Struthio camelus: one gene and its partners. The protein of the gene in region 1 purifies or fractionates together with the protein of each later gene. This does not show direct contact. Links are inferred from orthologs where the notes say so. Each region holds a gene or a part of one and is shown in the gene's direction. Other genes may lie near its edges.

Region 1 (6,954 bases):
TGCACACCCAACAGAAGAGCTTCTGTGGCCCAGCCCTCACCTTCCCTAGACCTATGTTAAAAGAACTTATACGAAACTAGAAACCGTATGGCCACCTGCTGTGAAAGACTGATAATAGGCAGGACTACTTGACTTCAAACACACACTGTTCCATTACTTGTGAAATATGATTACATCTGCTCTTTATCTTTCATCTGGTTACTCAGTGATAATTGACTGCTCAAGGCTGGCACTCAATTTTAATTATCCCCCCAGTGAAAACACAGCGACAGGCTCTGCAATTGCTCTCATATCTGCACACAGCATCCGTAACGCAGTATCCTTCCACAAAGAGTAAATCCTTTTTTTTCGCCATAAATTAGCTGTACAAATTACTAAGGTATATTTCTCCAAAGAAAAACTTTGTTAACAGAGATAAAGATGCCTACAGATCAAAATGAATGTTTTAAATCTGCAATATATTAGAATAGCTTAGATTCAAAGTCCTCTAACAAATGGCTGCCCTGTTGCCTTCTCTAGTGGCACAGGTAAATTTCCATTTCCCTGTTTAGCACAATTCATTTCAGAGAACTAAGCATCTAGTAACTTCCTTAGTACTGTGTCAACAAAGTGGCTACACAGAAGCTGAAATAAGCATCAACATGTCATCTCACTACCATCCAGAATTGCTAATACACTAATAGATATGTAAGGAGCTCCACTTAGTGGCAAGAGAAGACATTTTCAACAACAGTGTCTAGCATGGGCGGAAGACATCTCTGAAATGTAAATATGTATACTAAACACTCTCTACTTAATTCAATCTCTGCGTGACTCATTTTAATCAAAGCACTAGAATCGTGACCTTTCACTAGGATAGCTTTATTCATGTTCAGTAACAATTTCTGAGAAAATTCAATCACTGGCTGTGGAAAGATGTTGTTTAATCAAGCAGACACTCTGAATTATAAATGATAAGTGAAAGCGAGTTTTGCCCAGGTGCTTTATAATCTATGACTGACATACTTGTTATTCTGTTCAGTAATGGGGATTAATCTGTATAATTACAAGATCCTGATTACTTCCTGAATGAAGTTGGGGTTGATGAATATTTACTTTAGATAACTCCCCAAGACAGTTATTTGGATAATAAATAGATAAATAAACATGAAACTTTGAATAAAAATTTTTTTGCAATTTTTTTTTTTTTTGCTTTGTAACACTATTCGATATATAATCCCCTTGGCTGAAAAAAATCAAAAACCCTCAATATTTTTATTTCCTGCTTGCTAGGCTTTCTTTCATTAGTAAGTAACTCCTTCTCCTACCTTTGCTTCTTTTTCTCTATTCTTTTTTGAAAAACTGAATGACTGTTTCACAGTTCCCAGCTTCTCTAACCATCTCCTTAGTAGAAGTAGTCTCGCTTGGGTGTACAGAATTAGTGCATCTCTAAATTAAAGATTTTCAAACTGAGGGGAATAAGCACATCTAAATAGGGATTTTACTAGGTAGCTAAGAGGAAGGCAATGGTGGGGGTGAAGCCAAAGCGAATATAGCTAAGGCCAAAGGCTGTCAGGCTCCGTCAGAGGAAAATGACCGCTCCAAGCACAAGCAGAGAAAGCACAGCTGATAGGCATGACTAAATTAGGATATTTTTCCTCAGCAAGAGCCTCCAACAGTGCTGGATTGGTTCAGCATTTCCTCTTGTTCCTGCTCAGAGCATATTCTGCCTTTTCCCTTCTCACTTTGCTCCTGTTCCTGCTTGAAACGCTTCCTCCTGGACACATTCTCTCATTCCAGTTGCAGTGGCACCATGGCAGTATGTTTCTCCTTCCTCAAATCCAAACACGATCCGTGGTAGTATTTTCCCCTCCTCATGCTCAGCTTGAGAAATGTGGTATAAAAAATTCTGTATTGGAATTGGGATAGAGATACAGAATGTACCCTGGAAGACAGGAAGGAAAAAGTGCGAGACCGCTGCTGAATAAACTCGCTTACTAAAGTATGCCATGCAAGGTATAACCTGAGTTAGGCCTAGGGTAAACTCTGGAGATTTTTAATTATTATGCTACGGGTATTATTAGGTCTAGGTATTAAAGTCTTGATTTAAGAAAACATGTAAATACCTTTCTTTTCACTATTATTTCCATATGTCCTTAATCATGTTTCCCAGAGATAATAAAGGTGCTTCCCACAACTGTACCTTTAAAAGTAATATCCTTCTATATCACTATTAAATCTGGACTCTAAAGGTTAAGAGACAAGGAAATTCCCATACCTGAGATCTTTAAGGTATAGATCTTGTCCAGCTATGTGGCCATGTTTCACGTTTTTGATAGTTTTCCTTATGTTGATGTCTCTCCCACTTTAACCATATTGATAATTTATTTTTTGCTTATTTAAGCTCCCTGTGTTTTAGTAGTTTTGTCCACTTGCTGGTCTAAACAGCTAAACAATGTCAATATCATATCTAATAGCAGCTGCACAGCACTCTGAAGTTTGTATACAACTCTCTAGTTTTTTGATTACATGAAAATTTGAAATCCTTAGAAGGAAATGAAACTATAAAATGCAAGCTGTATTTTTACTGTAGTAGGAATGGAAATATCTTCAGTGTGGAAGGCAAAAGCCAGTTACTTTCTGGAAGCCACTATCTGGTACAGTATAGAGCATCCAGTGGTTGGAAAGAAGGCAAAAGAGTGTGGTTGGGACCTATAGGGAAGCACAAGGCTGTGGTTTACCTGGGAATCAATCAAGTACCTAATGCTGTAATTAGGTACTGTAAATACAGGCACCATGTGGGATCAGTGCTTATGTGATCATCTACGTGTTTATACTAAGTGCATGGACCAACTGATTTATAACTTTTATAAAACTGAGCAGTAGTTGATAGCATACAATCAATATACAGGTTTCTATCCGATAAAACAAAATTTCCTCAGAATGAAACAGCAGTTAACAGCATGGTGCCTAAGTTCTGCCTAAGTCCTGCATTAGGTGTCAAAAATCCCTGTTTAGGGATTTGGCTTTAGTGACACCCATCATGTTCCCTACTAGAATGTTCACGTTCCTGCAGCGTATGGAAAACTTCACACATAGTATTAACTAATTTTCTGTTTTTAGGATTTTAAGAATGTAGTCATAGGTTTGTTGGGTCTAGTAAGATTTTCAGTTCAGATTGGATATTATTGGTTTCACATCTCAATTGTTTATCTCCTTTTTTGATTTGCATCTGCCTTCATCGAACTGCAAACATTTTTGCCTTATCTGTCTCTTACAAGTATCTCTCTACCTGGATATCATACTGTTGCTTTGTGTAGGACAAAAAACACACTCCAATTTTACAGAAGACTAAATTAATCCAAGCAACAAAATTATTAAAAAGAAACTGCCCTAAGCACATGTCAGGATCCTCAATACTGAGTTTTAAGTAGGTAAGTGTTTTCTTAATGTTCTTTTGTATCTTTACTGACAGTTGGCTAACCCCTTCACTGAAAAATTTATATAGTAAGTTACCAGAACAGTGTTTTTTAAAATATAAATCCAAGCAGAATAGCTAACTAGGAGACATACTTCTACATTTATATTAGCCTTTGAAAAACCTAATTAAATGAAATTTAGCTACTCAAAATTTTAATATTCAAGAGCCCTGTAAGCTTTTTGCTTACAGTAAATGAAGTAAAAAAAAAGTAAGTAAATAAAGTAAGTTAAAAAGTACATTTAAATATGCTGCTCTAGGCAGAATGTGGCTTATTAGCAATTCCTTGTGAGAACTCAGGAAAGTTGAAACATCAGGAGGTCAGAAAGCAAAATGCAGTGCCTATCCTGAGCTGAAACATCAGGAGGTCAGAAAATGAAACACGCTCCCTATCCTTTAAAGAGAAACAGCAGAAGACTGGAGTTATGTCAGCTTCACCTACCTGCTGACAATTTAAACGTTACTCCCAGTTTTAACACTTAAAAAGGGAGATGAATGACAGCCTATGCGCTCCTGTCAAGAAGGGGTACAGTGCCGTACTAGTCTAAGTTTTCAGTCTGTTGACAGAGTGTTTTCAGATAAGGCTGGCAGGCTCCTTCAGCTTCAGGTAACATCTTCAGACGCTTCTTGGGGAAACAATCCCATCAGCGTGGCCGCCTTGCATTTTATGCAAGGCCAGACGGGCGCTGCGGGGTATTCTGGGCTCCCCATTTTCCGCGTCTCCCCACCTCTTCCTCTGCACGCAAGGCCTACGCGGCCCTGCAGCCGGCCGTGCTGGGATCGAGACCAACCGCAAAACACTGCGTTTCTTTTTGGCAGCGTTGATTTGCTGCTGCTGCAGGAGCCCGAGCGGAGCGGAGGAGCACCAGCGGCGGCACAGAGGAGTAACTGTAAGGGGATAAAGGCCGCAGGCAGCCCCCCTCCCCTCAGGGCGGGCTCGCCGCGCCTGCGCAACGGACCGCCGCCCGCCCCCCGCACTGCCGCTTCCGGCTCCGCACCCGCCCGCCGACGTAGTTTCCGGCCTGAAGCGTTTCCGCTGCGTCATTTCCCCCGCCGCCCCGGTCGCCGTTTCCTGCCCGGCCGGAGGGGGCTCGTGTCCCTGCGCGCGCGCGCCCCGCCCCCACCCACCTTTCCAGCCGCCCGCGCCCCCAACCGCCGCTCCGCGCCCCCAACCGCCGCCGCCGCCGCAGCCATGGCGATGAGGCAGACCCCGCTGACGTGCTCGGGGCACACGCGGCCCGTGGTGGACCTGGCCTTCAGCGGCATCACCCCTTACGGCTACTTCCTCATCAGCGCCTGCAAGGGTGAGGCCCGGCGGGGGCGAGGGTGGGAGCGGGGGCGGCGGGGAGCGCCGCCAGGGGCGGCGGCGGCCCCTTTGTTCATCCTCGGCGGCGGGCAGGTGAGGTGGGGGTGGTCCCTCGCCCCTGGAAGGGGTGGGTGTGTGTGTTGGTGGTGGTGGGGGGGCGCTACTTAGGGAAGCGGGAGCGCGGGCAGGAGGCCGCCTTAGGTGAGCCGAGCGGCCGGTATTAGCGGCGGATGGTCGGGCTGGGGTGCCCGGGTCACCTAGCGAGACGCTGGCGGTCTCACGATAATACCCGGTTTCAGCGTTATCGAGTGAGAAAGAGCCTTGACAGCTGGCAGTGGCGTTGCCAGTTTAACCTGTGCGCTTTGAGAGTTTATTCGGTTCGGGTCGAAACTGTAAAAATTAAAAAAAAAAAAAAAAGAAAAAAAAAAGTGAAACTTCTTACAAAATTTTGTTTCCGAACTAGCCTGTTTTTACCTTCTGCACACGTGTATTGTACATCTTAAATTGAAGTTTCTTTTTTTAAATCACGGTGGCTGTCAGGGTGGATGTAGAATGGTGATGCCACTTTCCTTTAGCATGAGAACTTTCCTCTGCTCATTATGAGAATAGTATTTTGACTTCATACATGTGAATATTAATCTATGTATGTATTCATGATCTCCCTCCCAGCGTTGGAGTGCTTCCTAGTCAGATTTATTTCTTCTCCTGGGTGCAACTTTTTTTTATAGCCTCCCAGAAAAAAATAACCATAAGAAAGATTTTCTAATTCCATTTCATTTTCTCTCTATATTTTGAACATATAAACATAAGACTCCTTTTTGGGCAATGCTAGTCTGAAAATTTTTTTCTAAAAACAAAAGAGCTCTTCTGCCTGTAGAGGAAAACTGGAGTAAAACCAAAGCTAAATGCTCCTTTCTCCTTCTTTATCCCTTTTCTTCCTTGAAAACCCAAAGAAGTTTTATATTTACTTTGCAATAGTATTTTAAGGTCTGTATAGAATTCTAGATGTTCATGGTAGGTGCGGCTGCATATCTAAGCTCTTTAGCTAAACTCTTTTTCAAAAAATAGCATCATAAAAATACATGCTATTTCCCTGAAGGGAGATGTCTGGTGGCAATTTCTTTTTTATTCCATGTTGGTGTAAAGGAGTCTTCTTAAAGGTAGTATCGTTTTGTTTGATAACATTATCTGAATATTGGTTTTGTTTCTGTGAAGATGGTAAGCCTATGCTACGTCAGGGCGACACAGGAGACTGGATTGGAACGTTTCTAGGTCATAAAGGTGCTGTTTGGGGTGCTACTTTGAACAAGGATGCCACTAAAGCAGCTACAGCAGCAGCTGATTTTACAGCGTAAGTGATTATCTGCTTTTGAAGTCTCACTCTGTTTTGATTTTTCAGTCAATGATATTTTTAGTGACATAGTTGTTATAAGTTATTGATATATCTGTTCAGTAAATTATTAAGCTCGTTTATGAATAGCTAAATTAAGATCTAGAACTCTAGACTGTTGAAAGTATAGCTACAGTTAATTTTTTTTGGATAACTTTGATTGCTTCTTGATCACAACACTTAATTACCATAGTAGTCTGCCGGAATAACGTTTTATTTCCAGCTCTAATCTTTAGCATGGTAGAGTGCTAAAATCAGAGTTGAAAGAGTGATTTTTGTTTTGCTCCTCCTAGTTATCACTTTTTATTACTTGTTTTCTGTTGCTTATAGCTGGGGCAAATAAGCTCAGTGATACCAACGTTTTCATAGCATCGTAGAATTCATAATAGCCACCATTTCAAGGTTTAAGAATATATCAAGAATTCTAGAAAACTATTGCAGAAATTTATTTATTTATTTTCTTTACTGTCTGTAGTGTGTATTAACGTTTGGTAATTCGAATCCTGTTAGTAGAGGGCACTTTATATGAAGTCACAGAGGACAGCTGCACTTGTTTATCTGTAAAACTGAAATAATAATAATTCTGCATTATCTTGAAGAGGGGAAATTAAAATAGCAGGATAGTGCAAAAAAAACATTAATAAAAGCATATAAAGTATTCTTACTGGCTAACTGGGTTATTACTTATCAGAATGTAGTACTTAGGACAAAGTTGTTTACAAGCTGATCTGACTTCCAGGTTGATTTGTCTCAGTGCTACAAAATTTAAATGTTTTCTCTTGTCATTTAGCAAAGTATGGG
Region 2 (7,736 bases), on another chromosome or scaffold:
CTAAAAGTGTGCCTTCATCCATGTCAGGTGTAGTGACATCAGCTGAGATGTGCATCCTGATGACTGCTGCCTGCTTTATATTTCAGTGTCTAAAAATAATATAATAACATTAGAAATTTGATTATCCCTTACAGCTGAAGTTAGGAGTATGTTAAAATATATGTTTATCTGTGATTAGAAATAGCAAGCTTGTTCGACCTCATCAGATCTCTTATTCTGTATTCTTAATTAGAACGGGAACCATCCTAAGTCTTTATACTGATAACGTTCATTGCCGCTTTGTGTTGTTCAGGTCTTCAGAAGTATATATTTTTTTGTTCCTTCTCTCCTAGTAATGTAAAAATGTCTTGTTTCCAGTGCTTATTTACAGGAATTGCTCTGTCTATCAAGATTTGTCATTTGAACAAAATTTCTAACGTTGTTCTCTGGCACTGCTTTTGCTTCATTGTAATAGCATAGGAACATGCAGCTGAAAAGACCCCAGAGGAACCTAGTACATTCTCTAACTCCAAGATGGAATGAATATACATAGATTATTTCAATATCTAGCCAGAATCTTTTGTATTTCAAATTAAGTCCATCCCTTGTACCCAACAGGTGGAGAACAGTAACAACCTTTTAATATCTTTTAAAGAGTTACATTCTTACTGAAACTGTCTCTCTCTTTAGAAAAAAAAAAATCATTCTTTCTTCCTGGATTAAATTTTCTAAGCCTTTCTTGTTCCTCCTGCTCTCTCCTAGATGCTTTAATTTGTTTACATCTTTTCTAAATAATGGAATTCAAAACTGGATCTACTGCCCAGATGATGCACTTCCCTTCCAAAGGCAGAGCAGAGTAATTACTGACATGTATTTAAAAGGAACCTACCCTATTACGTTTATCTGATATTCACAGAATCACAGAATCGTTTAGGTTGGAAGGGACCTCTGGAGATCATCTAGTCCAACCTCCCTGCTCAAGCAGGGTCACCTAGAGCATATTGCCCAGGATCACATCCAGACGGGTTTTGAAAATCTCCAGGGAAGGAGACTCCACTACCTCTCTGGGCAACCTGTTCCAATGCTCAGTCACCCTCACAGTGAAGAATTTTTTTCTCAGGTTCAGATGGAACTTCCTGTGGTTCAGTTTCTGCCCATTGCCTCTTGTCCTGTTGCTGGGCACCACGGAGAAGAGGCTGGCCTCATCCTCTTGGCACTCCCCCTTCAGATACTTATTCCCCAAAAGTGCCTTATGATAGCCTCATATTTGTATGTTACGCTAAAATGACAGTTCAGAAGGCTTCCAAATCCACTTCTCGCTATTTCCTTCTTGCCAGCTGTCAACATTTTTTTTTATTTATACATTCAAGTTCCTACCTGAATTTATATTTTGAACTCAAATGCTCTTCAAACAGGAAGTAATGCTACACTATATGCAGGGAATTTTCAGGGGTTCTGAGGTTCAACTCTTAAAATGCATCTTCTGAAGGATTAGAGCTGTATCTAGATAGATTCTGTTAAAACTGCCCCAGGAGGCTTTGGGTTTGTTTATTTTTTTCCTTGCTTGGCTTCCTTTTGTTTGCCTTCCTTCTGAAATGAGGTTGTTTACTTCATGTTTGTATTTAATTATGAAATATAATTTGCTTTTATATTGTGTATTTGCTTTTATAAGTTCTGAGTCAGGCTTTTCTTATTTCTAAAGCTATATGTATACTGATTGCATCACATGAACCGGAATCTGTTGTCTTAGTCGTTGTCACACTTGCAACAATTTCTCTATTACTGTGTAACAATGCCTTATATCTTGCTGACTGATCCAATTCTGTTAGACTTTTCATTGATGTTTCATGACAGATGAAGAAAAGGTTCATGTTCTCATCTTTAAATAATGTACAACTTGGAAAGGATTGCAAGTGTTTTGAAGGAGAAGATTACAATTCAAAATAGGAAACTAGTCCAAAAATAAAGAAAATTAAAAGTAATCGATTTTTAATAGGTTTACTTGGATAATATACTACTGCTTTTGCTTGAACATATTGAATACATTGCTTTTATGTCTTTCAGGAAATTGAAGAACAAATAGACAGAATATATGAGATGGGAGAAGTGATGAGAAAAGCTATTCAAGTCGATGATCATCAGTTCTTTAAAGTTCAAGAGAAACTAGCTCAGTTGGAGGTAAGAAGTGGTATAATTGCTAACAGTAGATCTAGATTTTTTGAATTTCTAGACTTATCCTAAAATATTTTTTTCTTTGTCCATTGATAGAAAAGAGAATCAGAAAGAGATGCTTGGGTTGTCTATGTATATGCCAAGGATTTATAACATTCAAAAATGGGGGGGTGGGAATAAGGAAAATTATCTGCTTCTTCTAAGTAGTTGATGTTCGTTTCTTATTATATATAAAACCAGAAGTAAAAGATATGCTTTAAATGATTTGGGTCCCCTCTTGCTAGTGCTGCATTACTCCTAAATTTACAATATCAGTGTTTTATTTAGTTGTCAATGAGTGTAGCTATTAAAGATGATAGTCCTTTAATTGTGAATGAGGTCATTTTTATTTCAGCAAAAATATTGATTTTGCAGCTTGAAAACAAAGAGCTCCGTGAACTTTTGTCAATCAGTAAAGAATCTGTTGACGTGAGGAAAGAAGATCTGCCTGACAGTGAAGCTCAGGTCACAAAATAACCCTATTTCCAAATTTTAACTTCTGAGAATACGAGGAATCCACCCTACAAGGAAGGATGGTTTGTGTTTTGTTCTTTCAGGTGTTTCCTTGTATGTCTGTTTTATCTTCAGAAATGTGCAGCCTGTTTTCTCTGCATTTTTCTGAAAGTAGACGCTCTGATGGCAAAGGCTTGCTTTGCTGCTCGGTCTTAGTAATTGCAGCATACAAATGCTTAACAATGAAGTGTTTATGATGACCTACTCCCTTGTGATAGTTTATTTTCTCTCATAAATGTTGTTTTGGATCAGCTTCAGTTAAGAATGCCAACTATGCAGACAGCACTTAAATTATTTTATTTGACAAAAACAATAAGAGATTATTTGAAAATTATATTGTACATGGCAGGCACACATTTTGTTTTCCTTTGAATACCTAACACAAACAGCATTCGGTTGGGTTAACATTCTTACTGGGAAACAGACAACTTTCTAGAAGCAGATCAAGAGAAGAGCAGGTAATCAATTGTGCACTTCCCTGAATAACTTCATATAAGGGGCATACTTTGCCTTGATTTAGAGGGGAAAATCAGAATGAATAGCCCTTTCTCACACTTCCACGTGTCAATGTAGCGTGTCTGCCTAGTGTTCTTGTTTTCTTTCTTTCTTTCTTTTTTAATGGGTAGACCTATTCTGGCTCTACCTGTGCTGCAAGGTGTGTGGATTTTGGATAGCTCTGATCTGAGGCACTGCTCTCAAGCCAATAGAGTAAGCCCTGCGGAGAACACAGCACTTCCAGATCAAAGCTGTCTGGCTTCCCACTACTTTGGGCTTCAGGAAGGGTGAGCTCAGGTCTGGCTCAAAAACATTAAGCCAAAACCAACCAAATAGACCTGTTTTTAATGTTATATCACAGGTAAGTCTAGTGACAGATGTTGTGTAGTTATTGTAAAATCCTGTATTGAGTTAAATTAGAGTTGCAATGTCTAAGAATTTGTCAATATTGTGGTATTTTTAATGACTTTTTTTAATAAAAGATTTGTCTGTCTGTCTTATTAGTGATCAAAGGATAATCCTTCAGGAACAGCAAGGCCCTCATTCCCAGCATTAGTTTAAATTGTTATGCCATTTTTTCCAAGTGAGAATTTTATAGATGCAGAAGGTGATTTAGGTCTTGTGCCTAAGACACAAAGAGAATTAAGAGACATTTCTTTGCCACCATCTGGAACACCCAGAGAGATCGTCTGGTAGAGATGAGGGTTTTCTGTACAGGACTATCCTTATATAAAATCATTTTCTACTTTAAATTATTTCTTAATAGGGAATAAAAATAAGCATGGACAATTATTTTCTCAAGCGTGTTCAGTTTTATGAATCCTGCTGATAATTCAGTCTGTTCTGCCTGTGCCGGAAGCCTTTGTCACCCACTCTGCTTTTTGCCATAGTCCTTGAATGTATGTACTGCAATGAAACGCTTTTGGTCATTGTATTTCTTTTCAGTTAACATAATCTGAGCTGTCTGTGCCAGTGCATTTACACTTTCTTCTGATAGGCCAAATGCTGTGCAAACCTAAAAATGGGAAACAGAAGCAGCTGATTAGAGAGTTCATTATAAATTAGCAGGAGAAAGGAGGAGGAGGTTTAAATGTGTTAATTTGTTACTCTACTCCCCTCTGTAACTATGGAATCGGTGACGGTAGATATCCGAGGGTGTGTGACCCTGGAGGGGGTTTTCAGAAGAACCTCCTCCCCTCGTGCTGAAAGTTGGACACTTCACTGTAGAGAACGCGGCTGCTTCTGTCCTTGAAATCCAAGTACAAAGCACCTCCCGACGTTGCCTCGTCGCGCCGGGGCGTGGGATGAGGTGGAAATGCGCGGCCGCCCCTCCCTGTGGCCCGGGGCGGCGGCGAGAAGCGGGGCGCGCGCGCGGCCATTGTGCGGCCGCGGGGGAGGCGCGCGCGGCGGAGGCAGTAACGGCTCCGCGCGCGCGGCGGCGGCGGCGCCCGTTGGGCGCGCGGCGCTCGGCCGCACAGCGCGGGGGGGGCACTGGCACGCGCCTGTCGCTCCATTGGCCAACGGCCAGGCGCGCATGCGCGCTGAGCACCCCGCGGCGGCACCTCGGCGCACGCGCGGCTCCACCCCGAGGCTCTCGCGAGAGGCCGGGATTTATTCCTACGTGCTGTGCCGTGCTGCTCATGGCGGCGCTGGAGCGGGGGCGCTGAGCTGTTGGGGTGAGTACGGCTCGCGGCGGGTGGCGAGGACGCCTGCCGCTGTGGAGACGGTGCCCGCGCACACTAGGGTGTCCTGGGGGTCCTTAGGGGGCGGTAGTAGAGGTAGAGGGAGCCTCCGAATCTGTATCCCCCGTACCTGTTGTCCCAGCGGTCTCGGCGGGGTAAGCTGCCTGTCCACTTTCCCCGGCTGCGCGGGGCGAGGCGGTCGGGTGGCCGGCGGGGCGCCGGCCTGGTAGGCCGCTGCTCCTCGGGAGGGAATACTGGTAGTTGCGAGTCAGTCGGCCGTCGCGGCGTGCGAACTACGTTTCCCGGCGTCCCGCGGGCGGACGCCCCGCCGCAGGGACTCTTGGGAGCTGAAGTCCCGCCTGTCAGTTTAGGCGGGGCTGGGGCGGCGCCGGAACTCGCTTTCCCGGCGTGCCGCGCGGTCCGCTCGGCCGCGGGGCTTGCTGGGGCCTGCAGGCCGAGAGGCGCCGGCCTTGCTGCCGGTCGTGTCGAGGGGACTACGGGTCCCGGCAGGCGCCGTGCGAGGACGGGGTGCGGGGGCTCGCGGGGCCGGAGCTGGGCGGTGGCGGAGGCGGCGGGGGGGGGGGGGTAGGTGGACCGCGGCTCCCGGCAGGCCGCGCGCGCAGGCCCGCCCTCGCGGGGACGAGGCCCCCGTCCCTTTGTGTGCGGGGGCGCGGCCGCCATCGCCCCCCTTTGTGTGTGGGGAGGGCGACGGGCGGCGCCTCGCTCCTCGGCGCCTGCCCTTCCCCTGGGCCGGGAAGCGGCGCAGCGCGGCCCCTTTCCGCTGTCACAGCGCGGCGGCGCGCGGCCTGCGCCGGGCTGGGGTCCTGGCGCCGCCCCTCGGCGCCGCCCGCGCCGCGGCCACCATCTTGCGGCAGCGCAGTGCGCAGGGCCTGCTCCGCTGCCGGCCGGCCGCTCTGGGCGGCTCCGTCGGTTCGGGCCTGTTTCTCTGTTGTCTGGGTGGACAACGAGCGCCAGGCTCTTCCCGACTGCCGACCCCTTCACAGAAAACGCTCCTTTGTTTTTGCTGTTTACATCCATTGCTGATCCTAAATGGATATATGCGTTAGGCAGATGTCTGTCGAAGTCTATAATGATTTTTCTGTAGCTGCGTTTTTTGACCTAGAATTGACATACCTAATTCAGTGAATGTTGACAGCTGACCTCACTGCTGTTATGTTTTGATCGGGGCGTTCAGGAGTTAGTATTCTTTCTGATGTTCAAGAGGCTCCTCTGAAAAATTGTGGAGTAAGTTAATCTCCAGATGTCATCTCGTAGCAGTGTTGTGCATGCTGAAAATACAGTGCTTAATCTTTATTGAACTTGATCTTAATCACTTAGAAGATGGCTAATTCTAGAAACACGTTTTAGTTGTGTAAAATATGTATTCTTACAGTTGCATACCTGTTCTTTTGAAGAAAGCGAGAAACAAAAAAGTGGCTGTAGTTTGGCAGGTTCTCCCAATAGGCTGTGTAGGTGATTTCAAGCAGAAAACATGCTTATGTGACAACCTGTCACTGTTTAATAAAATTCAAGACTTCAAGAAGAGGACTTGTGCACCTTTCTCTCTTCACTGTCTTTGCATTAATCCTTTCAGCTGTAAATATACAAATGCAGAGAGGCCAGCGATACTTGGGGGCTGGGCAGCTGCTCAGGCTGTTTACCATTTGGAGGAGTATTTATAGTAGCTGAATTAAAAAGTAAAGAATTTGAGGCAGATGCACGCTGATTTTACTGGAGTTATACTTGCTTGATACCCCCACCCCCTTTTTTCTTTTTAATGACAGTAGTAGTAAACCAATCATGTGATCAAATCAAACCAAGCTTTTAAGGTGAAAGCTTATGCTTTATTCCATTACCCGATTAAAGCAGCTTTAGGCATCTTTGGGTAGAAGAGATGTCTGGGTTATGTTCTGTGGCTAGCCAAAGGTATATGACATTTTTGAATGTCTAGTATGAATTATGTTACTGTTCCAGTAGAGTTCCGATCATCTTGGACTAATTAGATGAGGCAAATACTTGAATAAAAGGTTCTAAATGTCTCTGTGCTGTTCCTGTGATGCAGTGTGTGCCTGCTTCACTCCTCTTGAACTTCATGGGAGGGGCAGCTCATTTGCTCTACAAAATGCTGTCCAAAACATGATACTGTTCTGAAAGAGATTGTTATAAGGGTTGCCTGTATCTTTCAAGGAGGTATGTGAAAAATCTAGTGGGACATGTATTTTTGTGAGAGCTTTGAGTTTTCTGATTTATGTTTTTTATAATTGAATCTTTCTCTACAAGCATCTCGTACCAGATTTGTTTGGTATGGGGAAGAAGGAAGCAAGCTGAACTCATATGTGATATTTCTGGGAAATGCTGTGTTTAAGTCACCTTTAATGTTTGTTAGACTGATAATTGTTAAGCCTGCTGTGGGTAAAATGAACATTTGATAGACTTGCTTGTTAAGTTGATCCTGTTCTGATTTGATTGTGAAAAGAAGAACGCTTTCATCAAAATTTTTCACTGTGGAAAGTATGGTTTTATTAGGACTATTTTAAGAAATATTATGAAAGTAGTGTTTTCCTTGTTGTTTTCTTCTTTTGTTTTTTGATTTTTTTTTTTTTTTTGGACTATCAATCGTATAGGGAGGTGTGGACTTGTTTTACTGATATGGCTTAATGTTAAGGAAACTGGTGTGAAACAAACTATATGGATGAAAAAGGTTACAGCTCAAAGACAAAAAGCCTCAGCCTTTGGCTTGAAATGGGTTTTCTTGTCAGACCACTACACATCAACAAATGAGATTAATTGAGAAACTGGATGAGGGTGTTCTGTGTGATGACTGAAGGAATATGTTTCACATGGATGAGAAGTCAC
Region 3 (7,408 bases), on another chromosome or scaffold:
TATCCCAAATTGAGGTCAGCGGCATTGCAAGTGAAACGCGTCTTAAGCTAATACACGTCCCCTTTAGAAAAGGGGATGGTGACTTCTACCAAGATCAAAGCTATCTCTGTCCACATACATATTTACAGCATTTCTTGTGCAAGGCTGTTCCAGCTGCTGACCTGCAGTATAAACAAGTCTCCCTAACGATATTTAAAGCCATTTTAACACAAACAGCATCCCCGCCAATTGACTAGGTTATCCTACAGAGAAAAAGCAGTCCCCCTAATGAACTGATTCACTACACCACAGACAAGCATTTCAGTTTAATAAGGCTTTGCCTGACTTGTCTTTTGTTCTTCCTCCTAGCACAGATTCGAGTTTGGATTAAGTGCAAGATACCAAGGGCGATATGCTTGCTCTCGGAGCACAGGAGAGAAACGCCTGTGGTATATACGCTCAGATTTGAAAACCCAAAAAGGTTTGAGGCAAGAGACATCGTTCCAGAGAGGTTTGGGCTGCACCTTGCTTACAGCAGACGGTAACGCTCCTGGAGCGAGACCTATGCATGGCAGCGAGCTCTGCAGTAGCGCTAGTCTGTTCAACACTTCCACGCAGCCCAGCTGTGACCAAAAAAAGCCATTCTTACACCATTGCCAGGATAACATAAAGCAATACCCCCAACCCACACTGGGCGGATCAACACCAGGCTGACCAACACTACTGATTTAACACACTGCTCTCAGGACAACAACAAAAAAGAAATCACACCGGGGGAAGCATGCAAATACAGATCTTAAGTCGAGATGTGAATTCAAAGTTATCCAGCACACCGGGAAATCCCACCGAGACTCATTTTTGCCCTGAGACACGAAAAAACGGTGCATGGCGTTGCCAGCCGTAGCATAGCATGATACCAGGCTTAGCGTAAAAGGCAGGTAACTCCCGTGGACGCAGGCTTTGGCGTTACCTGAAATCCACTGCTGCCTCCCCAGCTTTCCAGAGCGAAATGCGTTTTTTAGGCTTTTTTTGAGGGGGGGGGATTTTTTTTTGGTTTGTTTTTCGGTAGGTCTGTCCCCCCCACCCAAGGGTCCCCAGAGGGGCCCCCCGGGAGCCGGCCTCTCCTCAGCACACAACGAGGCCGAGGCGAGGAGGCAGCTCTACCCTCCGGCCGCCGCGCAGCTACCGGAGACCGGGAACCGGGGCGGGGGGGGGGACGACGACGACGACATGGGGGCCCCAGCGGGAAGCGACCCCCCCACAGGGCCCCCAACCGCCGTCCCCGCCGCCCGGGGGAGCCCGGCCCGGCCCGGGGGCCGCTCCTCACCTGCCGGCGGCCGCCCCCCCGCCGCCGCTCAGGGCCGCGGGCGCCGGGGCCGCCCCGTCGCCCGGGTGACGGCCCGCGCCGGCGCCGCCATCTTCCCTCGCCTCAGCGGCCGCGTCCCCGCCGCTCCGGCCGCGGCAGCCAGCCCCCACTGCGCACGCGCCGGCCAGCCCCGCGTCACATGAGCGCGGTGGGGGCGGGGCTGTGTGTCGTCAGGTGGGGCCAGCGCGCCATGATGGGAAGGTCAAGCCCTCCCCCCGTCCCCTAAGCCTGACGCCATGTTGGGAAGGTCTTGCGTGGTAGTGTTGGGCGGTGCGTTTGGTGTCCCCTCCCTCCCCCCCCCCAACTACCACCGCCGCCATGCTGAGAGGGGCGGGCGGGCGCCATGTTGGGGAGGTCGGCGGTGGCGGGAAGGTGGCAGGGCGGCTCCTTCTCCTTCGCGGCCTCCCCGCAGGCCTCGTCGCGGCCTGCCCTCGTCGGTCGGCCGGCCTGCCCGCAGCCGGCCGGGCCCCTCACAGCCCCGCTTCGCCCCCCCTCCCCCGCGGCGGCGACGGGCCGGCCGAGCTGCAGCGGTAACTCCGCAGGCCGTGGAGCGCCGGGCCCGCTTCCGACGGGGAGCCGCGGCCCGTCACCTCAGCCGCCGGGCAGCCGGGCCCGAGGGGCCCCGATCCCGGGAGCGGCGCCGAGGGGCTTTACGTTTCGGGGCGTCGCTGCTCGTCCGGGGGAAGGGGGCTAACGAGCGCCTCAGGGGCCAGAAACAGGCTACGGAGGAGCTGGGGGTGCCGGGACGGGGATTTGGCACGGCATAGGCGAAATTAGCGGGATGAGGGCCCGTCCGGTGCCCCGCCGGTTCTCTCCGAGGGAGGTTTGCGGGTAGAAATACCGAAACCCGCCCAGGGGACGCACGTGAGGTTGCCTGCCCATGCTGCTCGCCCCAGCGGCCCTCTGGGATGGGAAGGCTCAGGGCGAGCGGTGAGGATTTGCCTGCTTTTCGCTGGAGTTTTTAAGGAAGCCGGTCGCCATCTGCTGGAAAGCTGCGACTCCTGGCTTCAGTGTTGGGGTCGCATGCAGAAAATTCAGTTTCTCTAACTGCCTGCCTGAATGTTTTGCTTTTTCAGGATGCCAGAAGGAGTCGTACGGGAGGCGTTGAATTCTGGATTTGCTCCCAGTGGATCTCGCCCCAGCAGTCTTTCGCTTTTCAAACCTCAGGCTAATGTGTCGGCTTGACAGCTATCCCAGATACAAAAGAGAGAAACCCAGTAAGTGAGCTTTTCTTTTGGGAGATCTATTCCGAAGGGTCGAGCAGAAGTTATCCCTCCTCTCTCTTAGGGAGAGGTAAGAGGAAGGTAGTTTCAAACACCAAAAAGCTTAGCTGAAAAGTGATACGAATGAAGATGATAGAAAGACACACGGAGAGGCCCTCAAATTTCTGCCAAATGCCCAGATAAACTCACGCCTGCCTGCCTCTAGGGCCAGCCTGTCTGAAACCTGAGTTGAGTTCATCCTGGCTTTGCTGGGATTTGGAGGCACCTGGGCAGGAATGACCTTTCCCCCCCACGCCCTGCCCTGCCTTTCATTTCCCCCCCCCCCCCATTGCAGGGTGTTCTGAATGCTGCAGAGTTGCGAGTTAATGTCTCACAGTTTTAAGCCGCGAGGGTTAAACGGTTTCGGTTAACGTCCTGGCAGAGCTGAGGCACCTCAGATAATGCCTCCACTTCTGGATCAAGCCTCGGTGCCAACCTTGCTTCCGCACCCAGCTCCGAGAGAGCTTGTTATCCTGAAAGCAGTAACCCCAGCACAGAGGGAACGCGGCTCTGAACAAAGTTTATCTTCAGTTACTTGTTATTTTGCTTGGGATGGTACGTTTCACCCGCATGCAGGTGGTGCGGTGGCGATTTATGCCCCGTTGAGTCTCACTGGGGTTTACACAACAGGCTGTAAGAGGTGTCTAAGTGCTGCTCTGGGTATTTAGGCGTGAAACGCTATTGCTTGAGCTTACTGCCCCGTTTCTTTTTCCTGAGGTTGATGTGCAGCAGGGCCAGTCCCTAAAGTTATCTTGTTGCTGACAATCGTGCCGATGCAGCCGGAAGATAGCAGCATTTTCTGAGTTATTATCCCTTCACTTAGGACGTGTTCAGAATGCAAGCATTTTCCTTTCAGTCTTGGCCCTGAATTTCTCAGTTAAGGCCAAAGCTGGCCAGATCACAGGCACGTGTCGCATGGAGGCAGCACGTGGGTGCCCCAGGACACTTGTGTCGCATGGAGGCAGCACGTGGGTGTCCCAGGACATGCGTGTCACATGCGGGCAGCACATGGATGTCCTAGGACTCGTGTATCACGTGCGGGCAGCACGTGGGTGCCCCAGGACATGTGTGTCACATGGAGGCAGCACGTGGGTACCTCAGGACATTTGTGTCGCATGCTGGCAGCACATGGGTGTCCTGGGACACGTGTCACATGCTGGCAGCACGTGGGTGTCCCGGGACACGCGTGTCGCATGGAGGCAGCAAATGGGTGTCCCAGGACACGTGTCCCATGTAGTCAGCACGTGGGTGTCCCAGGACACGTGTGACATGTGGGCAGCACATGGGTGTCCCAGGACACGTGTCACATGTAGTCAGCACGTGGGTGTCCTGAGACATGGGTGCCCCATGTCAGCAGCATGTGGGTGTCCCAGGACACGTGTGTCGCATGTAGTCAGCATGTGGGTGTCCCAGGACATGTGTGTCACATGTGGGCAGCACATGGGTGTCCCAGGACACGTGTCACATGTAGTCAGCATGTGGGTGTCCTGAGACACGTGTCCCATGTCAGCAGCACGTGGGTGTCCCAGGACACGTGTGTCGCATGTAGGCAGCTCGTGGGTGTCCTGAGACACGCGTGTCACATGTAGGCAGCACGTGCGTGTCCCAGGACACGCGTGTCGCATGCGGGCAGCACGTTGGTGCCCCAGGACCCGCGTGTCCCGGGTCCGCCCTCCCGGCAGGGGGCGAGCGCGCTGCCTCCCGCGCCCCTCACCGCCGCACGTGGCCGCCCGCAGCGGCCCAGCGCGCGTGCGCGCGCCACCCTCCCACCGTCCCCGCCCTGCGCGCTGCGCATGCGCGCGGAGGGCGCGCTGGTAGGCGGCGGCGGCGCAGGCGCCGGGGGCCGCGCGCATGCGCGGGGCGCGGGCTGGCGGCGGCGGCGGCGGAGGAGAATTAAAATGGAAGATGAGGAGGTCGCTGAGAGCTGGGAGGAGGCGGCCGACAGCGGGGTAAGGGCGGCCGGCGGGCGCTGCGGGGCGGCGGTGGCGGCGGCGGGGAGCGGCGGCGGCGGCGGGGCGCCGTCTGAGGAGGGCCCGGGCGGCGGCGCCAGCCCCTGAGCGCCTGCTAGGCCTCTTAAAGGGGCCGCGGCCTCCGTCCGCGTGGGGCCGCTCCTCCCACGCGCGTCCCCCCGGCGCCCACCCGCGCTGCGAGGCGGCCCCTCGGCTCTGGGCGGCTGCCCGCACCCCCCCCCCCCACCCCTCCGCCGCGGGCTCGCTGCGGAGGGCCTGGGGCCGAGGCGCAGGCGCGCTGCCGGCCCCACGCGAGCCCGGCGAGGGGCAGGCGCCGGGGGGGCCCCCCCCGCGGCCGGTGCGTGGGCTGCGTTTCGTGGCCTACAGCTGGGAGTCCGCGAGGCAGAAGCCCTTTCTCTGTGTCGCTATGCCTGGCTGTGGTCCCTCCTTAATCTCTTTTTAAGGCAAAACGGGGGTGATTTTCGCGCGGCCAGCTATAGCTTTCAGTTTTCTAGCTGAACTTCCTTTTAATAGCTGGCTTAATAGCTTAAGTTTTCCACCTGTCTGTCGCGCTGAGAGGCTCTGAAGCACGCTTATACGTGTTTCCCATGCGAAATGAAATCCTTATTTTGGCAGCAGCGTAGGTGGATGATCGGCGGGGTATTCACAACTGCACGAGGAAGGGAACTGTGTGAGACGGGTCGCTGTTTTAATAACCTACGTGGGCCCTTTAGTGAGCGGAGGGCAGAAGGACTTTATAACAATTGCTGTGCAAGAAGACCGAATTTGACTCTGGTCAGTGCTGTGCTGCAGGAGATTGGGTTACCGCTTGTGGGAAAGACGTTAGCAAAATAGAGCTCGTAATTCAATGCCCTCCCCCAGCTGCGTGCGAGATGCCAGTCGAAGGCTGGCAGGGTAAGGAAAGCCCTCGCTGCGTACCCTGCCAACGCTGTGATACTGCAGTAATGGGAAGTCTTGCGCAGGGCGGTGGAGTTAATTCCAGCGCTCATTAAAGCGTTCCATGAAGGGACATAACTTGTGTCTCGGGAGTTGATGATAGCTGTGGCCTTGAGTAATAGCTTAAAACTGTAGGGCTGTTCAAATCTGAGGCATCAGTTGTCTTTTCCCTTTTGTCCTTTCAGCTTGCACCTTTTGATGGTCTTTTAAAACACTTGTGGGGAAATATCTCGGTTGTCTAGCCTTTGTAAAGTCCTTTCCCAGCACGTCCGAACTGCTGAGCCTTTGCATTCATAAATTCAGCAGTGTTTGTGCTGCTTAGGGGAGAACAGAGAGATGTCTTGAGGCGCTGACACCATGCTTGCAGCTGCTTTTACAGTTGTCCAGGCTTTGCATGTCTGTAAAAGCAGTGGGAACAAAAAACCTGCTTGTCTCTAGTCGGCATTACTGTTACGTAAGAGGAGACATGGAACCTGCTTTCAGGTTAGATCTGGCAACCATCACCAGGAGACTTCAGGAAGGTCATTCTCAAGCAGTGACTTGCAGGAAAGAGACCCTCTGCTGCTGCTCGTGGCCACAGGAAGTTACAAGCTAACTGGAACGAACAAGGAGAGGAGAACCTGATCTTGTCCGATGTTTTTCTTGAACCAGATTGATGCCAGTGCACGTTGGATCTCTGAGCTACTACAGGAATCAAAGCTGCTGGGGTAGACTGTTTCAGAAAAGAGAAAGAGGAAGAAAGTACAGGAAGAGGCTTAGATGCAGAGCAGGCAGCATGGCTGCCTTGCTTGCTTGCTAGTTGAAACATTATTTCAAGCACCCTTGCTTTTCCTTGTGAGAAAACCTGCTGTAGATGCAGGGAAGTGCTTTAACGAGACCGATCCGCTGGAAGCGTGAGAGGAAAAACTATGTGCAGAAAAAGCTTATGAACTGGCCTGATCCTGTGATCACAATAGTTACGGTCTTAAGGAGTGTTCTTCGTTTTCTTCCACCCGTATCTTGTTAGCCTTGGGTTACGAATTGCCCTCTGGGGTGGCACAGGACAAATCCCAAGTTAAAGGCATGAGACATGACAACATTCCCATTCAGTATTGAATAGGAATATCCAATGAAGCATTAAACATAACAAACATTAAGCAGCAGCTTTAAATGCTTATTCGTGTTTGAATACTTCACGCAGTCAGGAATGTAAACCTGAAGAGTTGTTATTTTATAGCCCCTTCAAGCACATACACGTAATACTTTCCAGTTGCATCTTGGTGAAGTACATGCTATTGACTCTTCAGCTGATACTTGTCACTTATGTTGCATGGAGTTGGGCCCACAAAAGATTATAATGTCGACCTTTAATCACTGAGGAAATAGACGTGTAATGAAACAGGTCTGTGGAGGGCTTCTGAATGGTGGGATTTTGAGATATTTTCCCTGTTTCTTGGCATGTAATTTTTTTTTATATGCCGTCCAAAGGGCGTTCCTTAGAACAGAAAGGATGCCAAGAATTTGGGTGCTGATCTTTCCCTTTTTGGTGGCTATTTTGCTGTTAGGTTACTAACTTTCGCTCTAGATCTTGGTATAGCGCTTTCAGAAGGTAGCCTTGGCAAGAGGCGGTTCTGGGCTGACTAGAGATACCGTGGCCTCCTTGTGCTAACATCGCTTCGTTTAGCTATTGCAGATCCTTCCCTTTTGAAACGGGCAATACTAAGATCTTACCAGGTAGAGGGAAAGCCAGTGAGCTTTGAAGGGGAAAGCCCAGACAAAACGGACGCAGATCTTTGGCTTTGGACTTGATCAGTGAAGTAGCTGTAATACAGCCACTTAAACACTTTTTTTTTTTCTTTTATGCAGCTCCTCTTTGTCTTTTAGTTTTCCGAGTCATCAGAATTACCGTGTGTTTG
Region 4 (7,431 bases), on another chromosome or scaffold:
TACCCCTCCCTAACATAACCAGTCTTCTTAGTCACTTCTGTGTTTGGTAACGTGTCTTAGGCTATATGCTTCTCCTTCCCTGCTTTTAGCATAAATTAAAGCAGTAACCTACTACTGGCAGTGTTAATGGCAAAAGCAAAACTCCTGAGCCTGACTTAACACAGGAGTTTTTGATATTACCACTCTTTAATGAGTTACAGTCAACACCATTTTCTTTAAATCCATTCATATCTGATTTCAAATGAGGTTGAATGCTGTATGTGTAGGAAACAAGCTTTGAGGCTAATGGACTCTAGAAGCTAGAAAGAAAGATTATGTTTGAGAGGTTTAATAGCTGCAGAGCAAAACTGTCATTACAGCAATCTGCTTAATTGCAGACTAAGAACTTACAACACTAATATATCCACAAACCTCTTAGCAGTAGAATAAGGAGCTTGTTAGCTGCAGGGACCAAACAGCTGCGCAGCGAGGTGGCGTATTGCTGGGCTGCCCAATTAATACCTCTGAGATACCTCTGTCGGATGTGTTTCACAGACTATAAATTAAAAGGAAAAAGGTTTCATATGACTTAAGGTTTAACTGACCTTCTGTTAATTAAGATCCTCCTGTATTTTGTTTTTGAGGCACTGATAAGGTAAATCAGGCACTGCTTATAAATGATATGAATTGAATAATTCTAGATATTTTATAAACCAGTGACTTCAACAAATTATTTTCTTTTGCCTTTTTATGATTTAGTAGCATCACAGATCTGTGCTAAACTTCCTGATTTGTGTGCTCGTAGAAAAGGCATGATAATGAACACCTTAGTCCCTTCTGTCCTGACTTGAGTAAAACTGATCAGCAAAATCAAGCACCACCTGAAATTTTTATTTTTGAAAATGACGTATTCTGTTAGTTTGGTAAATGACACATTTGGTATTTTTCTCTTGCCGAGTTCCCTGATGAACATAATTTGTAAATATCATGATACACTGACTAGTAGTTAAAAAAGCACATAAAATTTCACTTATTATCACGGAGAGAAAACTGTGATAAGAATTCTACAAATGCAGCTTTGCAATATTTGTACTTCCTCTTGCACTAGGACTAACTGTGCATATTTATCGCTGAAAGATAGTTTCATTATATTACTGTTCAGATGTTTTCAGAATTCTTTGCTTTATTAGCCTAAATATCTCTTACATTGAAACACAAATAGAGCTTTTACTGATCATCATTAATAATATTTCCTACCTTACGGCCATAATCTTTCACTTTAAAAGCTAAGAGAGATTTTATTTATTAGTGCCTGTGTTCTTAAGTAAATCAGCATATAAAACAAGGAATTTCATATCCTTGATCTTAATTGAAGACTAAAAATTTATGAGAAAATTTTATGTTTTGTATAATTATCTATCTCATCATTTGTCCCTTTGCAAAATTGGTTATACTTTAATGATCCATGTAGTTTCTTAGTAGGTGTTTTTCTTGCACTACAGAGTTTTGTTTGAACCCTCCATGCAGTCTGCAGTGTTTTGCTTTCCATCTTCTAGAAAGCAATCATAAAACCCACTCAAAAACTGACAATAATTATTACAAGAAATAAAGCTAGCACTAAGCAAACCTCAATTCTTTCATCTCCCTCCCTGTGGGAGCTGCATATTTTATATAATGCCTCTAAATGCCATATTCCAGTTCAGAAATTAGTAATGAACCTGTGTTTAAACTGCAGATATTCCCTGTAAAATAGCCCGCTCTACCTAATCAAAAAAGTAAATATTTTTTTAAATAGACTCAGTCTTTTTTAATGATCTAAACAGATCTCATAAGGCCAGATAATTTGGATTTTCTATGTTTTTTTGCATTGTGTTCTATGCATTAGCAAATGATGAAATTTTTTGCGCCTTTCTATAACCAGAATGGGGGAAATTCAATGAATTATGACATAAATAAGGCGAGGTGATATGACTGCTTCTTGCTTGTTCTTCTTAATATCTTTCCACTGATTACAACGTTGTTTCCATTCTCAGGAAGCACCTGGAGAACAAAGATGGGCTAAAGTAGACAAGAAGTGGTCTGAAGGATTCCCTTGCAAGACAATGCTGCAGCACAAACACTTACTGTACCTGGTTAAAGTATCATAAATACACAAAGGTGAGGAGTTGCTTTCTATCAGACTTGAAAAATTTGTTCAGTGAAATCAATCTTTTTCATGTTATTTTGGCAGAAAAAGGCCAAGCAGTTACCGTCGTTTTGAAAAATATGAAATTGCAGAAGAGCTATTTTCTTCTTGAATAAAATATCATTTTACACAAGGGCATATCTTGGAGGCCGTTTGCTGTGTCAGATTTCCTTACGTTGAAAGGGTGTTAAATTATCCTCTCAATTTGGGAATGAGCTTTTTCAGTCTGTAGGAAAACTGAACTGGGGTAAGCAATGAATTTGGGAAGTCCAATTGTTAAGGCCAGCACTAGGGGAGCAGGAAACTCCAAGTACATTAATCGTAAGCAGAATGTTGGGAGCTCCTTTTTTCCTAATTAAAGGCTCAAGCTGATGAGAAGCTAGTAATGGCAATGTCTGAGGTTGGAACCGAGCTGAGCACAACTTGCAGGGTGCCATGGTGAGGATCTGAGTTCTGTAGCATAATGTCAGTTTTGCCTCAGATCTGCTGTAAGCCAGTGTCTTAAGAGACACCCAAGCACAGCCTTCACTATTTTGTCCTTTGGATTGAAACTTTTTCATTGTTCCATTTTCGCAAGGAGTATGCTATGTGAATATCTAAAACACGAGCTAGCCTCATCTGCCTAACTAGCATATTTAAGGATGAATGTAACCAGGTATGTTCATAAGTTCTCCTGATTTTCTGTGGATCGGCATTCGACTGTTTGCAGATACAGGGGGAAAAAGCTGACGACTTAAATCTTCTCAGGCTGTCATTTGTATTTCATTTTTTTTCTTCATCCAACTGCTCTGTCTTATATAGCAAAGAAGACAGATTCACTATCAAACAGATTATCAAACATAATCTACTACGCCACACAGAAGGCAATGCTAAGCACCCCTCACGTGACCCTCATAAAGACAGAGTCCTCCAGTCCTGCATGGAGCAGAAGTACGGCAGGTGAGGCAAGGCATGATTCCCAGAAGAGCCCCGAGAAGCTCTTCGAGGACCTTTGCAGTTGCTGTTTTTGCCCTGAGTTTACCCTGGCTCCCAAGATCACAGATATGCACCCAGGGATCGGGATAAGGGATGGCAGAACTGTAGGTGTCTCTTCAATAGGGATCTTCTGTTCTGAAAGAATGGTGATGCCTGGTAAAAGTATTTAGTTTGTGCTGGCACTTTTCACTGCTTGCAAGAGACTTGAAACCATCTTGGCTGGTGAGCTGTCACCTGCGAGTTACTTTATTCTTTCTTTGTCTGGCAGCCAAACATCGTTCAGGATGCTATCTTACTGTCTTACTGATGCTAGAATATCATTTCACTTGAGGATTAGGCCTTTACGTATTTCTATACCTGAATAACTAAGAATGTGTTCACTTGGTATTGCCAACTTCAATATTTAATTATGGCATGAATCTGTATCAAATCCAGATGTTTGGTCTAATACTAACTGTCGCTAAGGATATTTAAAGTAAAATAGTATTTTGCTCAGCAAAAAAAAAAAATGTCACTAGAGGCTGTTCATATACGATGCTGATGGTTGCTAGGAGAGAAGGTGGAAAAGAATGAATTAATAAATATTTACCTCATTTTGAACCGTTATATTAACAGGATCCTTATGCAGATGAGAGAATGTAAGAGAAATGAGACTTTTTATAAAGGTTGTGTCAGCTAAACAACCGCAGATAAAACAGCCGGTAAATCAGCGTGACAAGGAGGCGAAAGGCAGCGCCGGGGAGGACGGTGGCAGCCGCCCTGGGCGCTGCGGACTGGGAAGCCGCAGTCCGGTGGAGGCCAGGCCTGAACTCCTGGGGCGGCGCGCGAAGCTTGCGAAAACTTGCTGAAAATGCGTCAAAAAGGGTGACTTGCAGGTAACACGTGGAAAAAAAAAAAAAAAAACACCTGTGGGCGACATGTCACCTGCCCTACGACTGGAGGGCCACGGCGCAAGGAAGCCCAGCAACAAAAGCAGTCCCGAAGCGCAGGCGGGCCCCGCAGGCCTCTGGCTGAGGCCCTGGTAAAGGAGGCAGGGGGCTGCGGGGACCCCGGGGCGGGTGGGCCACCCGGCCGCGGCAGGGGGCCAGAGCGCCCGTCCTCTGGCCCTGCCACACGCCCGAAACCCAAAAAGGTGCGGGGGAGGGGGGGGAATGTGTGAAGGTAACCGTGGGGCCTGGGGGGCGCCGGCCTCCCCCACGCCAGGATCCTCGCTGTGTCGCACAGGCCGCCGCGGGGGAGAGGGGGGGGGAATGCCCCAGGCCCCGCCCCTCGCCCCGCCCCTCGCGCTCCTCGGCTGCTGTTGTTGTTCGGGCGCCCGGCAGCTGCCGGCGGGGCGGGGCGGGGCGGGGCTGTCGGGAGCGGCCAATCAGGCGGAGCCCCTGTGTCGGTTGCACGAGCGGCCGCGGCCAGGCGGGGAGGTGCAGGCGGTGCGCGCGCTTCTCTCCGTTTCTGTCGCGGGGGGCGGGGCGGGGCGGGAGTCGCGAGGCGGAATCCTGGCGCGCGGGTGCGCGCGCGCGCGCGCCCTCGCTCTGCGGGTTCGGGACCGGACCATGGCGTTAACGGCCACTCGGCGGCCCTGGGCCCTGCGGTGCCTGGTGGCCGCGCTGCTCTTCCCCGCGGCGGCCGGTGAGTGCATGTGTGCGCGCGGGGAGGCCGAGGAGGGGGGAAGCGCGGGAGGTGGCGCCGGCGGGGCGGAGAGCGGCGGTGGTCTGCGGGTCCCCGTCGGTTCCTTTCAACAATATGGCGGAGGGGCCGGTTGGGGCGGAGTCGCCCCCTCTGCACCCCCCCCCCCCACCCCGCCCGGTGTCCGAGCCGGGCAGAGCCCGGGGACGGCGCGTCCCTTTGTTGGCCGAGGGCAGCGGCGGCTCCGAGGGAGGGCGGGGCCGCGGCTCGGGGCAGACGTGATGCGGCGGGGCGAGGAGAGGCGGCGGCGGTTCGCGCTGAGGGGGCGGCGAGGGACGGACGAGGCACCCGCCGCGGCCTCGGGAGAGCAGCCTCTGCCCCGCGCCGGCGCCTGCCTTGCCCCGCGGAGAGCAGCGCCCCGAGCGGCGTCTCCCCGGGACAGCCTGCCCCCTCACCCCCCACCCCGGCCGGCTTCCGCGCTGGCTCCGCTCCCTGTGGCGGACCCCGGCCGCCCCTTCCCCCCCAGGGGGCGAGCCGCTGTGGCCCGCCAAGGTAGCGCGGAGCGCACCCCTCCCTCCCTTGAGGTCACTGCTGTTTTGTGGCTGGAGCGGAGCAGACTGTACAAACTAACCGCTTGGGGATGGTGTCTCCTTCGGAAAACTTCTGTCTGCCTGTGGCTCCCTCAGCGGGCGAGGGGAAAGCTGCTGGGCCTGGCGGGCTCCTCGCGGCGTGTTAGCGGGCGCTCGCAGGCGGTACGGCGGGGAGGGCGCCGAGAGAGCAGTGCGGGCAGCTAGCTACGTGTTGAACGCTCCGCGCAGGGCAGGGGAAAGGCTCTCCCACGTCCCGGGCTGGATGCTTTAGGGAAGCTAACGCGCCTTGTGGCGTGCTGCCGCTGTGCCAGTTCTGAGAACTGGTGACGATTTGGGTAGGTGATCTCGGTGTTGTAGTTGAACAGCTGACCGCTGTGCTCCGAGAGGCCCAGAACACGGGGAAATGGTCTTAAGTGAGTATCGTGCATAAAATACTTATGGCCCTCTGGCCACTCCACACCTATTGCTCTCTTGTAAGAGAGAGATGATATCAGAGCTGTACCGTTGGATAGGTAACGCATGAAACGGAGGTTGTTAATGACACTCAGGAATGAAAAACTAAAGTGATTTTTTTAAAAAAAAGCATATTTTGTTCTTCACTTAGCAGTAGGGTCATATGTGGTAATGAGACTTAAATGATACATAATGCCTTACTTTAACTGATTTAGGTTTCAACATCTTCTGTATATATTAGATGATGCCAATAGATGTACAAAAGCTGTTTTTTATAGCAAGTGCCACTCTTACAAATTCTTCTATAGGTGGCATGCCTATTGCTCTGGGTTTTAAAGAGGAGAAGGAGATGTACTCTGACTTTTTTCAACTATAGCTTTAAGACATGCCTCAATCTGGTTCTTACTATGCTGCTTACGTTTCACTTTAAGTTAGTAATTGTGCTGCAAAGAAAATGTTACCTAAGGCAAAATGTAACTTGCAATACTAAAATACCATATTAATCGCCCATATCCTTATTGAAGAAGATGGAGAATTTTTGAAATGGAAGCAGTGAAGTAAGCTTAAATTACTGTGTATACACTTGAAAAGATGCATCAGCCTTCAATAATTTAAAGCTTTCAATATTAAATTTAGATATTGAGGGAAACTTTACCTTGATTTGAGCTCTGAGCCTTTCTTTTCCTGTTTAATGCCTTTGAACAATCGAGAATTTTCATTTAATTTCAGTTATGAAAGCAGTGTCTAAGAGTTTTATTTGGGAACAAGACCAGATTTCCAAGGCTAAAATAATTTTCCATAGAGAAGCTAAAGGATGGAAGTGGTGTGTGGGTGTGGTGCTCTTCCCCCCCCCCCCCCCGCTGCCTTCTTAATATCCCCATTATTATAGTCTGGGATCCTTAGTCCTTAGCTCATAGACAAGTTCTCTGAAATTGGGAATGGGATTATTTTCCCTGAACGTTGTGGTCCAAGTTGACAAAGTAGTGGTGCAACACATCCTTTGTGTACTGTTACTTAGTGTTCTTATCGTGGGTTGACAGAAGTTGGGCGTTTTCTGATAATTTCTGATGCTAGCATTAGTGCAGGAATGAATCCTCTCATGATATCACTAATGTGGAGGTCAGAAATGTCGCAGATCACAGCAGCTAGTTGAACTACTGTCAGCCAGCCCTAACTTTTAAGGCAGAGTGTGATTTTTGCGCGTGTGTGTGTAGGGGTTGGGGGGTTAACTGTTGTGAACCATAAATAGTCTTTCATCTTGCCAAAATTCTGGGAGGTCACCCTCTGGAAATCCTATATGTTCACACAATTCATTCTTATTTATGATAATGAGTGAACCTGATTTGTATGCTTAAGTCAATTTAAAAGTACAGAGTTCTTCATTTTACTTTTTTCACAAAGATGGTGAAATTACAACAAAGGGGAAGATCTAGGTTTCTAATTCTAACTTTTTTTTTGTTTTTCTAAAACATACTCTTCCATGAAAAGCACCAGAAACAAATTTTTAACATTGTATTTTGCTGTAGAGGCATGAGCACAATTCTGAGTTGCAAAAATAGATAGTGCCATTCGGCACCTACACTACAAAGAACATAACATTACTTTTTCTAAGCTAGGATCGTTCCA

Evidence for each region.
Region 2: the proteins of STRAP (region 1) and CSDE1 purify together in Homo sapiens (affinity purification with mass spectrometry; 3 studies listed by BioGRID and IntAct, counting the BioPlex papers as one, with this or other methods). This does not show direct contact. The link is inferred for Struthio camelus from reciprocal best matches to the Homo sapiens genes STRAP and CSDE1.
Region 3: the proteins of STRAP (region 1) and SZRD1 purify together in Homo sapiens (co-immunoprecipitation; 3 studies listed by BioGRID and IntAct, counting the BioPlex papers as one, with this or other methods). This does not show direct contact. The link is inferred for Struthio camelus from reciprocal best matches to the Homo sapiens genes STRAP and SZRD1.
Region 4: the proteins of STRAP (region 1) and TGFBR1 purify together in Homo sapiens (affinity purification with western blotting; 3 studies listed by BioGRID and IntAct, with this or other methods). This does not show direct contact. The link is inferred for Struthio camelus from reciprocal best matches to the Homo sapiens genes STRAP and TGFBR1.

The regions. Positions count from the first base shown.
Region 1 is NC_090942.1:71,984,852-71,991,805, forward strand, and holds the start of STRAP (serine-threonine kinase receptor-associated protein), read left to right. Parts: upstream 1-3,947; 5' UTR 3,948-3,962; coding exon 3,963-4,761; intron 4,762-5,978; coding exon 5,979-6,114; intron 6,115-6,943; coding exon 6,944-6,954. UniProt on the Homo sapiens protein: The SMN complex catalyzes the assembly of small nuclear ribonucleoproteins (snRNPs), the building blocks of the spliceosome, and thereby plays an important role in the splicing of cellular pre-mRNAs.
Region 2 is NC_090965.1:10,109,202-10,116,937, reverse strand, and holds the start of CSDE1 (cold shock domain-containing protein E1), read left to right. Parts: upstream 1-4,730; 5' UTR 4,731-4,874; intron 4,875-5,010; exon of another isoform or gene 5,011-5,403; intron 5,404-7,736. UniProt on the Homo sapiens protein: RNA-binding protein involved in translationally coupled mRNA turnover.
Region 3 is NC_090962.1:13,572,301-13,579,708, reverse strand, and holds the start of SZRD1 (SUZ RNA-binding domain-containing), read left to right. Parts: upstream 1-4,390; 5' UTR 4,391-4,400; coding exon 4,401-4,556; intron 4,557-7,408.
Region 4 is NC_090943.1:78,044,850-78,052,280, reverse strand, and holds the start of TGFBR1 (TGF-beta receptor type-1), read left to right. Parts: upstream 1-4,428; 5' UTR 4,429-4,689; coding exon 4,690-4,765; intron 4,766-5,393; exon of another isoform or gene 5,394-5,926; intron 5,927-7,431. UniProt on the Homo sapiens protein: Transmembrane serine/threonine kinase forming with the TGF-beta type II serine/threonine kinase receptor, TGFBR2, the non-promiscuous receptor for the TGF-beta cytokines TGFB1, TGFB2 and TGFB3.